Linked DNA regions of Coturnix japonica. The protein of the gene in region 3 interacts with the protein of the main gene of each other region in a pairwise test. Links are inferred from orthologs where the notes say so. Each region holds a gene or a part of one and is shown on either strand. Other genes may lie near its edges.

Region 1 (3,750 bases), on a different chromosome or scaffold from region 3:
AGCACAGTGAGAGCAGTGAAATGAAGTGGGCAATACTCCTGAGAGTGGATGCTCCTGAATGCTCCTCCTCAGCACGAGCAGGAAGAAATAAAGGCCCCACAAAAAATGTCAGTGAATCTCTTTCCTTTCTACAATGAAATCTTGAGGATTAAAGCACAAATATTTCATAGAGAACAGCTTAGCAAAGGGCACTGAAAATGCTCTTCACTAGTGTTGGAGTTTAGCAGACAGCTAAGCACCTCCCTCCACCCCAGTAGGATGGGGGAGAAAATTAGGAGAAAATGTAGTAGAACTTGTGGGTTAAGATAAAACTATTTACTGAGAAAAAGACAAGCAGCAGAAGAGAGCGTGATGAACTCCCAGCCCCTTCTAAACTCCTTCTGCTTGATGTTGTATGGTATGGAATATCCCTTTGGCAGGTGTAAGTCAGCTGTCCTGATTCTGTTCCCTCCCAGCTCCTTGGAGCCTTGGCTCTGCACAGCACTGCTTAGCAGCAATTATCAACATCACTGTGCTATCAATGTTTTTCTTCTCCTCGAACCAAAACATGGCATCATACCCAACATTCTGAAGGGAACAATTCTGTTCCAGCTGAAACTAAGACAACTCGCCAGGAGATCTTAAAAGAATTGCTGTAGGTTTCTTTATACAGGAAACCCCAGATTCTACTGGTGCTGTCAGGAACACTATATTGCTCTCTGTTTCAAAAAGGACAATCTCCAGCCATACTTTACTGGTGCACCCAGACAGAACAGGTTGGTGGTAGGTACAGCAGTCTGGGATTCACGGCTGGACAACGCTCCCATCAGCGCAAACCACTGGTCTGTATGCAAAAGTTCCTCAGTCCCAACCATGGGGCTTACTGCAGAAGTTCTGTTTCAGCAGCATGGCTTTTTTTGACACATACTGTTTTGCACTATTTCCTCTTGCCAGCAGCACTAAAACAAACAGGACCTCAAGAGCAGCTAAGTGCAGTGCTTGTCTGATGCTCATGTTTTAGAGGCAAGGAGCTGAGCACCTGCCTGCCATCTCCCTGACTCTGCACTGCTTCCAACACTGAAGGCCAGGGACGGTTCAGGAGAATATGAGGTAATGCAGCCATCCAAAGGCACAGCGTGGCTGATGGACAATGGCTACTGACACACAGCTCATCCCAACAGCACAAAGGAGCTGTGCAGGACTGGCCCCAGACTCAGTCACTGCAGTTTGGATCTCCATCTTCCTGCCCCTCTCCTGGACCACACAGACAATAACTCATGAAGCTGCACTGGCTTAAAAGCAGCAGTCACTGGCCTTGCTCTTCCAGACACATACAAAATAAAGTGAGCAGACCGACAGGATTACAGGAGCAGAGAAGTGAGATAATGTGGTAGTGGAAATGTGCTCTGTCCATAGGCTTTACCCAGGTGCTCCACAGCTCACAGCCACCTGCTTCCAAGCAGAGAACCTTCTTATGAACTTGATAACTACTTATTAACTGCATTAATTAATTAACTGCACTGTGACATTTATTCTTGAAGGCCGGAAAGCCACCAGCAGGAACCTATCTGTAAGGAAGGTACCTCTAGATATTTCTGCTGTACCTCCAGTGCAGCCCTTGGATGTTCCCACATTTATCACCAGAGGATGCGATCTGAGCACGGCGCTGTCAGGGCACACTGGACACTGGTTACAAGAGCAGGTAGGTGAGACTGGCAAACAGGAATGAAACCACATTATTTGGTCTGCACAGGTCAGCCAGAAGGGATCAGCAGGAAAAGATACACTGAGGTCTGGTTACTGCTATGTAGTGTAACGTGAACGATAGCCATAGGGGGCCGTTCAACCATTCATAGCAGGTGCAGAACGAGGCAGGAAATCGCCGTTCAACTTCCTGAGCCCTTCGGAAGCGGCTCCTCGGGCCTGTGCTCCCCGGCAGCCGCCGCCCAGCGCCGCGTTCCGCCCGCAGCCCGTAGCACTGCGGCGGGGCCGGGACTCACTGCGGGCTGGGGGCGGCCGGGAGCGGCCTGTGCTCGGCGGTGCCTCCGCCCGGGTCGTTCCGCGGCTCCCGTGCCCGAGTCCCGCCCAGCCGCATCCCTCGGCCCTCGGCCCTCGGCCCACCCAGCCCACCCGCCCCCCGGCCGGGCACCGCGCCGCGCCCCTCGGCCCAGTCCCCGCCGCCGCCCCCTCGCTCCGTTCCCTTCTCCGCAGCCCTGGCCGCTCTGTCGCCGCCTCCCGGCCCGGCCCCGCCGCCCGCTGCCCCGCGGAGAGGGGCGGCCCCTCCCAGCGCCCCCGGCCCAGCCCGGCCCCGCCGCCCGCTCACCCGCACCCGTGGTGGCCGCCATCTTGCGCCGCTGCCGCCGGACCCGCCCCCCAACGCCGCGTCAGCGCAACGCGGGAAGTGAGGCCTCGCGGGGCGGGCGGGCGCGCTAAAGACGAGGCGAGAAAGAGGAGAGCTCTGTGGTGCACGCCGGAAGTCGCCCGAACTTCGCCGCGCGGGCGGGCACAATCGAGGTTAGCGGCGTTCTCTGTTGGGCTGGGGGGGCTCGAGCTGTTCGTGCCCCCCGAGGGCGGCAGCCGGCTCGTGTCCGGGACAGCAGAGCCCTGGATCCTCCAGGGAAGCCTGAAACACGGGCATGCTTTCAAACATTTAACGTCCTATAAAACTCCAGTGCAATTAATAATGGCCAAACCACGTTCATTATGGTCGGAACGCAGGCAGCATTTAACTCCTAATGCTCTTAAATTACCCAGTCACTTGGTAATAATCTGGTGTTGTTTATGTATTTGCTTCCCAAACGTCTTCAGCTAAGGAAAGTACCAGAGTGGTGCAACATTTCCTTTCCTTTGCTGCCATTCTCTCGTTGCCGTGAAGCACTGGCAGCAATCCGTGCTGTGTGTTCTGTGCAGACCCACAGTGAGCGCAGCCGAAGGAAGCAGCCAGCAGCACGCAATGCCCGCCCGTCTGCAGCAGGAAAGACACAGCACACACGGGTGTCCCCGCTTTGCTCCTGAAGGTTGGGACTATGCAGAAATGGAATCGAAAACAGGCGCTGCCAGATGGGACCTGACAGCAGATGGACCTAGAGGGCTGTGCTTCAGCGGCAGCATTTTGCTTTGCCTCTGTCTAGCCAGTACAGTAAAAAACAAACAAAGAAACCTGGGAGGAAATGAATTAATAAATTCTGCTTTGTCTTGCACTACATATCCCCAGATATTGTCCTGAGACATCGCATGGACATCTCACAGAAATTATTAGAAGATTTAGAGGCTCATGACTGCCATTCAAACCCTCATCCTGCTGTATCAACCCCACAGCGCACAGCTACAGCACCATTTCTACCAGCTATTCACTGATGCTGCTTTAAAAACAGCAATGCCAGTCTTGCTGCTGGTCAGACTACAGCTGAAGCCTAACGCTGCATTTCAGAGGCAGCCGAGAGCAGCACGGGAAACGAGCAGGGCAGAAGCTGGGTGGCACAACTGCTCGGCAAAGCTGACCTGGAGCTGGGGGTGCAGATGCCAGGAGCTCCCGTTGGAACTGCTGCAGTTCTGGGGCAAGGTGGGTGCTCAGTGCAACCCCACTGTTGCAGCCCCCTTCCCCTCTGCACCAGGTTTGGGAGGGGATAACAGGTATGGGCACCTCAGGACAGCCCAAACCTCCTATTTTAGAACTGCTCCAGGCGGGATCAAGGCAGCGTTTTGCTGCTGCTGCTGGAGGCTGTTCTGCACCTCCTGCTGCCGTTCTGGGAGCCCCAGGGAGCAGAGGGT
Region 2 (3,445 bases), on a different chromosome or scaffold from region 3:
TTGTTTGCTCCTCGTACTGAGCATGTCTGCTTGGTGACAAGAACCTTGATGTAGGTATTGCATAGAACTGCCTCTCACAGCTGCAAAGACATCACAAAGTGTCCGTCCCAGAGTTAAAACTGTCATGAGAAAATGTCTGAATTGTCTGCATCTGGCTTCTTTTAGTAACAGAGCTTCATTAGAGGAATGTCTGTCTCACATACAGCAGCTTATGCAATTTATAAAGGAAGGGCCTGTGCACTTCAGGGATACTATGAAGAAAAAATATTAATATATGGTCATTGAGTATTTTGTATTGAATAGTGTCTTTGTATTGTAAACAAGTGTAGTGAACCAAAAGGCATGAAGACCAATAAAATGGCTGTAACTGGCTCCCTGCGTGCTGGGTTCTGTAGCGATGGCACCACCCTCAGTGCAGTGCTGATGGCTCCTGTGACAGAGCTAGGACCATCCAGGTGGTATTCCACAGCTGCTGCTTCACACCATATCTGCCTGTGTAATTTGTACATAGGAATAGAGAAAAGAGGATATATGTGCTATAACAATCCCGGGAAGCTTCTCTCCACCATACCATTCACCAGGCTTTCATTTTACTAATACACCAACAAACAGATATTGGACAAAGTCATGTTCAGTACAGCACTGAGTTTTGTATATCTTCAAATATAGAGAACTAATTCCTTTTTTACAATCAAAATTTACAACTTATATTCAATTTAAAACGCTCCATAAGCTAGAATACAATATGCAGTATTTTAAATACAGCCAAGGAAAAATAGCTACAGTAGTATTTAAAATAACATTAATAGCAGCAGAATTCTGTCTAAAAATAGGATCCTAACTTCATTTAAAGTGTCTCTTCTTTCAAGTAGGTAAAAGCAAGCAGATCATTTAAAAATAAAACCATCATCTGAAACACAGAACCACCCTGATAACAGTGAGATAATGCTGAGCAATTAGAACACATTACATGTTTAAAACATGGACAAGTACGAGCTGTTTTTAAAAAGGCTGATATGCAAGTGATGTCACATCAACTTCTGCTACAGTCCTGTACCTAAAATTATCCTTAATTTATCCTACGAGTCTTACAAGAAATCTACACTGGAAACTGTACCAAAGAAAGCAAAAGGAAACAGAAATAACTGAAGTGTTAATAGCTTGCTTTAAAACCCAGCCCATAACCCATACTGCTGGCAGGAATGGCCATGCTGTGTCTGTACAGACTACTGGACAGTTTATGTGCATTTAAAAACTATGATACCCATAGCCTGCAGCACAACAAACAAAGCAATACCTTTATAAACGAGGGAGAGTTCTCCAGGAGAGTGTAAAGTGCATTATTTTAAAGAGTGCTTCTTCTATATACAGTACATTTACTGCCTGACAGACACTACGGTTGTGCTTTTTAAAGGCTTTTTGCTTATTAGCTGTTCGCTAGGATCGCTGCAAATTCCTGCACTTATTTATCAGCCCTTTTGGATTCAGGAGGAGATAATGGCAGGGGAAAAAGAAGAAGAGGGATCCAATGACAAAATGCAATAAAATGCAGAAATACCTCAAAACTGCTTGGGAAAAAAAAAGGTCTTTTTATTTTTTGCTTTTTTATTGCTAGCAGCTGGTACTGAAATTGACATACTGTCTGGTGAACAGACTAATGTCACTCATTAACCACCCCCTCTGTTCAAAAGCAGGCAATGCACAAAGCATTATCAGTTCATTACTACAGAGGAAAATCGTTTAAATACCACATGAATCACAAAGCAACTCTAGAGAATGTTGGGTATACTCCAGCTGGAGCATAACACAGCATCTCAGAGCCAAGCTCTTGGAATTACCTTCCCAGGTAAGAGCTGTTTCATTAAGAGAAACAGTGCAGTGGTTTGACATCTTAAGGTCACCAAAGTTTTGTTTGTTTATATATATCTCTCTATATATACTTAGTGTATCTGTGTATGTGTGTGTATATATATATATATATATATATATGTATGTATGTATGTATATACAAATATATATAATCAGATATATCTATCTATACGTAAAATATAAATGCAGGTTTAATAATTTAAAAATAAGTTGGCATTCTGTATGGGGATCCTGTATGCTCTAAATGTTTCCTATCATCCGAGCATCTTTTGGCTCAGCAGATATCATCTACAAGTTTTGCCCCATTGATCCCCCTGTAGGTTACTCTGCTAGGTCGAACCAGGACCCCATGGTTCTGCTTGCAGGTGAAGTAACGCTTCTCCCCCACAGAGCCATCATTCTTTCCCTTGGCACTTCGTAGCTCAAGGCCAAGCCACATCCCTGGTGCAAAGTCCGTCGGACCAATGTACCTGATGGTGCCCATTTCATTGGAGCTGGTCAGAAGAACCTGTGAGCCTTCGTGCAGCTTCACCAGTCCCTCCATGGTAGCTGTGCTGGGATGGCTCCAGCTGTGCCGTGACGCAGAACTCTTGGACCTAGTTTTAAAAGGGGGGTGGAAAAAAAAAGCATCGGTGTCTTTCCATGAAACATCCAAGAAGTATTTTTAACTTAGTGCAGTGCATGACAAAACTGGGTTTGATCTCATATTGCTAGCAAAACATGTAACAACTTCAGTGTGCTACAACAGAGGGCAGTTTGAAATACTTGGAGAATCCATCTGCTCTCTCACTCGATGCCAGGATTTGAGATGTCTATGGTAGGTGGTACAGTAGGCAGGACGAAGTGCAGTCCTTTACCAAGGCCTGCTGCATTCAAACAGCTGAATGAAAATACAAGAATTTGCAAAATACACAGTGATGAGCAATTGGAAAACCATTTTCATGCCATCTTGAACCCAAGGACTGTATCTTAGGATGCCCACAGAAAAAACAGTAGGCTACTGCTTAATTCTGGAGGAAAAAGAGTGAGTATATATAATAACCTCTAGCACTTCATAAACATAAAGATCTTCTTTGCAGCAAGAAGTAGTGAGGCTATCAGCTGCCTCACCCAGACATCTTAAAATCCAAATACTCACCTAACAAAGGAGTTTCTTCTGCTTATCTCTCTTTGTGAAGATGCAGAAGTTGTGCTTAAACTGCGTCTAAAACCTAAAGGAGAAGGTTAATGAGCTATGTGGGATTTACAAAGATTTTTGGCTTTGAGCCCATTATCTCTGTGTTTTCTTCTATACTGCTCCCACTATCTTTGCTACACATTCTCCCTTCCTGTTTGGAAACTGATGAAACTTTTCATGAACTTAAGTGTTCATAACATGTTTTACATGTCCTGAGACAAAAGAAATTAAATAAAACAAACTGAAGAGGAGTAAATGGAAGCAGGCTTTTCACAAAACAACCTTTCTTACTGTCATGTATTTTTACTCCTTCCTGTGATGTATCATTACTCCTTCCACTGACACCCTCATTAGGCTCAGTTTAGATGAAGAACCAAGTTAAACTTATGGTTAAGTATG
Region 3 (3,750 bases):
AAAAAAAGAAAATGTGATTTATGTCATCACCAGCAGTTACATATACATGCAGTTTATTTCTGATTTATCTCCCAGACCTGGAAAACAGAAACCCAGTTGGCTTTTCCACATGTGAGAAGGGTAGATTTATCATCGCTGATCTCAGAGTGGGCAAATCCTAAAACTAACCTGCAGCTTCTAGTGCAATGAATTATTCGCTTGCAAAATTTATAAGGAGAACTGAAAGAAGTGTAATGGCAGCAATAAGGAAGCCCAATATATATTGATGACTGAATCATCTCCTCATGGTGCCCATCTCCTGCTGCCAAGCCTGTGAGTTTACATAATTTACTCTGAAATCCAGAGAGATTAAACCAAGCGTTCAAATGTTGCGCATCAAAAGAGGAACCAGATGGTGCAACGCTTTAGGACATTAATATATCACCTCTGGAGACCTGCATTCAGATAAGACATCAGACATGAGCAAAATAAATGTTCATGGTTTAAAACTGCTTTTCTAGAAAGCCAAAATAAATTTTCAAGGTTTCATGTGTTTGCCAGGAGGTAATCCTAGAAGGAATGATTTGTCGGTTTCCACTCCTTCTGTGATTGACTGTTTATAGTGGAAACATGCGCCGATGTCTTTAAGCCAGTGTACTTCATTAACCTCTGCCATGCTGCATCATGCAAATAAATACAGCTTGATGCAGCAGCATTCTATCAAGTATTAGCAGAAACAGAGCTACCAGACAACTCCAAATGCTTGATAATACAGACTGCACGTGTTCTCTCTTAGGTCCTGAACTTAGCTTAATTGCATATAATTTCTCTGTATTCTATACTCTTGTAGCACTGACTTCATTCCTGTGTTTTGGTTCAGTTTTGTTGTACCGCCGTGGTTGCCATTCAACTTCAGCCCAGGTTTCTTCATCCTCACATCCCGCGCAGCGGGGAGCAGATCCCAGCAGCTCCCTCGCTAAAGCAGCCATCCATTCAAAAGGAACAGAACAGGGTTCACATCATTAAGTTATTATTCAGCGGACCGAGTTTCAATACCTCTGCTATCGCATTGCTTAGCCGTTAAAAAAGAAACGGGGAGAAAACATTTCTTCTAGGGGGAGAGGAGGAGAAGGAAGTGGTTGGTCTTTAAAATGAAGAGCCGGGCACAGAGGGATGCGAGCAGAAAGCTTTCTTCCCAATAATGGCTGCATGCACGCAGCACTTTGGCTTCCCTGCTGCGATCGCCTGCTTTGCCCTCAGGAGCATTTCAGACAGAAAGGTTCAGTGTATTTCAGTTCAGCGTTTGCTCGAGTGGAAGGAGACAGCTGGAACGGAGAGAGGTTCTTTATATTCATACATAGAGAGAGGGGGGGGAGGAATTAAAAGGAGATCTGTATTTATCGGCTGTGAGGTCTTTTTAGCCCCACGTTGCAGGGATGGGCAATGTGGGATCTCCAATGGTGGGGTCCCAGGCTGGGTGCTGACCCCAAAGTGGGGACACAGCTTTCCTTTCCCTTTCTCTTTCCCTTTCTTTCCCTTTCCCTTCCTTTCCTTTTCCTTTCCTTTTCTTTCTTTTCCTTTTCCTTTCCTTTCTTTTACTTTTCCTTTACTTTCCCTTTCCCTCCCTTTCCTTTCCTTTCCTTTCCTTTCCTTTCCTTTCCTTTCCTTTCCTTTCCTTTCCCTTTTTCCTTCCCTTCCCTTCCTTTCCCTTCCTTTCCCTTTCCCTTCCTTTTCCCTCTCCTCTCCTCTCCTCTCCTCTCCTGCTGAGCAGCACCTCAGCTCTGATGGATGGACAACAACGAGGTTTACAGATAAAAGCTGCGGTCAGAAGGCGTATTTCCATTTAGATGGGCTTCCCTTTGCTTTTAACTCAGGTTCGGTCTGAAGGTCGCTTTGTGTGATGCTCTTTTAATAGGCACAACCGCATGCAAGCGCTCATCTCTGCCATGCCGTTATCCCCGCAGCGCTCTCCCTCCCTCGGTTATACCCCACATCGGGCCGTTGTTCCCACACATAAAACAGTGAACCAGAGGCCGAACCGAGGCCTGGCCCTGCTCACGGCCCCGCAGCGCTTTGGGAGCGCCGCCTCCCTCCCGCTCCATCCCGGTCCCGCTGGGTCGGCCCCGTTGCTGTGTGTAACCGCCCGCCCACCCGCCCCGCCTGCAGGGGGCGCCACTCACGGCGGGGCCCCGGCTCCGCTCCTTCCCTTTACCTGCTCGCCGCTCCCCGGGCCGCGCAGCCGCTGCCCGTCATACCCAGCGCCGCCGATGACGTGGTGCTGCGCGGCGCACGGAGCGCTGGGAGGTGGAGTCCTGAAGGGCCGCCTGCGCACACACAGCGGGTTAATGGGGGGGAGGGGCCATAAAGGCCTGTAGGGCCACCATGAGGGGCTGCAGGATGCCATAAGGGCCTATAGGGCCACCATGAGGGGCTGCAGGATGCCATAAGGGCCTATAGGGCCACCATGAGGGGTTACAGGATGCCTTAAAGGCCTATAGGGTCATCATGATGGGCAACAGGATGCCTTAAAGGCCTATAGGGCCACCATGAGTGGTTACAGGATGCCTTAAAGGCCTATAGGGCCACCATGAGGGGCTGCAGGATGCCATAAAGGCCTATAGGGCCACCATGAGGGGCTACAGGATGCCATAAAGGCCTATAGGGCCACCATGAGGGGCTACAGGATGGCCCCCATTAAAGGCCTATAGGGCCACCAAATGATGGGCTACAGGATGCCATAAAGGTCCTGTAAGGGCCCACCATGAGGGGGCTACAGGATGCGCATAAGGGCTGCTATAGGGCCAACCATGGAGCGGTGCAGACTGCCATAAAGGCCTTATAGGGCCACGCATGAGGGGCACAGGATGCCATAAGGCCTATAGGACCACGGCATGGAGGGGCTAGCAGGATGCGCATAAGGGCCTATAGGGCCACCATGAGGGGCGGCTGCGGATGCATAAGGGCCTACTAGGCACCATGAGGGTCTACGAGGTAATGCCATATAAGTTCCTATATGGGCCACATGATGGGGGCTACAGGATGCCATACGACGGTCCTATAGGGCGCACCATGAGGGGCTACAGATGCCATACAGGGCCTATCAGGTGCCACCCATGAGGCGGCCTGCAGGATGCCATAAAGGTCTATGGGGAGCACCATAGGGGGCTCAGGATGCCATAAAGGCCTATAGTGGGGGGGGGGGGGGCCACCAGAGGGGTCTACAGGATGGCCATAAAGGCCTATAGGGCGCACCATAGAGGGGCTACAGGATGCCCATAAAAGGCCATAGGCGCCACCATGAGGGGCTACAGGATGCCATAAAGGCCTATAGGGCCACCATGATGGGCTACAGGATGCCATAAGGTCCTATAGGGCCACCATGAGGGGCTGCAGGATGCCATAAGTTCCTATCGGGCCACCATGAGGGGCTACAGGATGCCATAAGGTCCTATAGGGCCACCATGAGGGGCTACAGGACGCCATAAAGGCCTATAGGGCCACCGTGATGGGCTACAGGATGCCATAAGGTCCTATAGGGCCACCATGATGGGCTACAGGCTGCCATAAAGGCCTATAGGGCCACCGTGATGGGCTACAGGATGCCATAAGGTCCTATAGGGCCGCCATGAGGGGCTATGGGATGCCATAAAGGCCTATAGGGTCATCATGATGGGCTACAGGATGCCATAAAGGCCTATAGGGCCACCATGAGGGGCTGCACCCTGCTGTCATGTCATGTAACCCTTCCCAAACACAAGGAAGGGTAGAACC

What was found.
Region 1: the proteins of TRIM32 (region 3) and ubiquitin-conjugating enzyme E2 variant 1 interact in binary tests that used the Homo sapiens proteins (3 or more experiments, as listed by UniProt). The link is inferred for Coturnix japonica from reciprocal best matches to the Homo sapiens genes TRIM32 and UBE2V1.
Region 2: the proteins of TRIM32 (region 3) and CLIP4 interact in binary tests that used the Homo sapiens proteins (3 or more experiments, as listed by UniProt). The two-hybrid records come from large-scale screens. The link is inferred for Coturnix japonica from reciprocal best matches to the Homo sapiens genes TRIM32 and CLIP4.

The regions. Positions count from the first base shown.
Region 1 is NC_029535.1:12,296,540-12,300,289, reverse strand, and holds the start of ubiquitin-conjugating enzyme E2 variant 1, read right to left. Parts: upstream 2,435-3,750; 5' UTR 2,325-2,434; coding exon 2,303-2,324; intron 1-2,302. UniProt on the Homo sapiens protein: Has no ubiquitin ligase activity on its own. The UBE2V1-UBE2N heterodimer catalyzes the synthesis of non-canonical poly-ubiquitin chains that are linked through Lys-63.
Region 2 is NC_029518.1:10,041,633-10,045,077, forward strand, and holds the end of CLIP4 (CAP-Gly domain-containing linker protein 4), read right to left. Parts: intron 3,081-3,445; coding exon 3,008-3,080; intron 2,466-3,007; coding exon 2,144-2,465; 3' UTR 569-2,143; downstream 1-568.
Region 3 is NC_029532.1:2,234,285-2,238,034, reverse strand, and holds the start of TRIM32 (E3 ubiquitin-protein ligase TRIM32), read right to left. Parts: upstream 2,292-3,750; 5' UTR 2,192-2,291; intron 956-2,191; exon of another isoform or gene 837-955; intron 1-836. UniProt on the Homo sapiens protein: E3 ubiquitin ligase that plays a role in various biological processes including neural stem cell differentiation, innate immunity, inflammatory resonse and autophagy.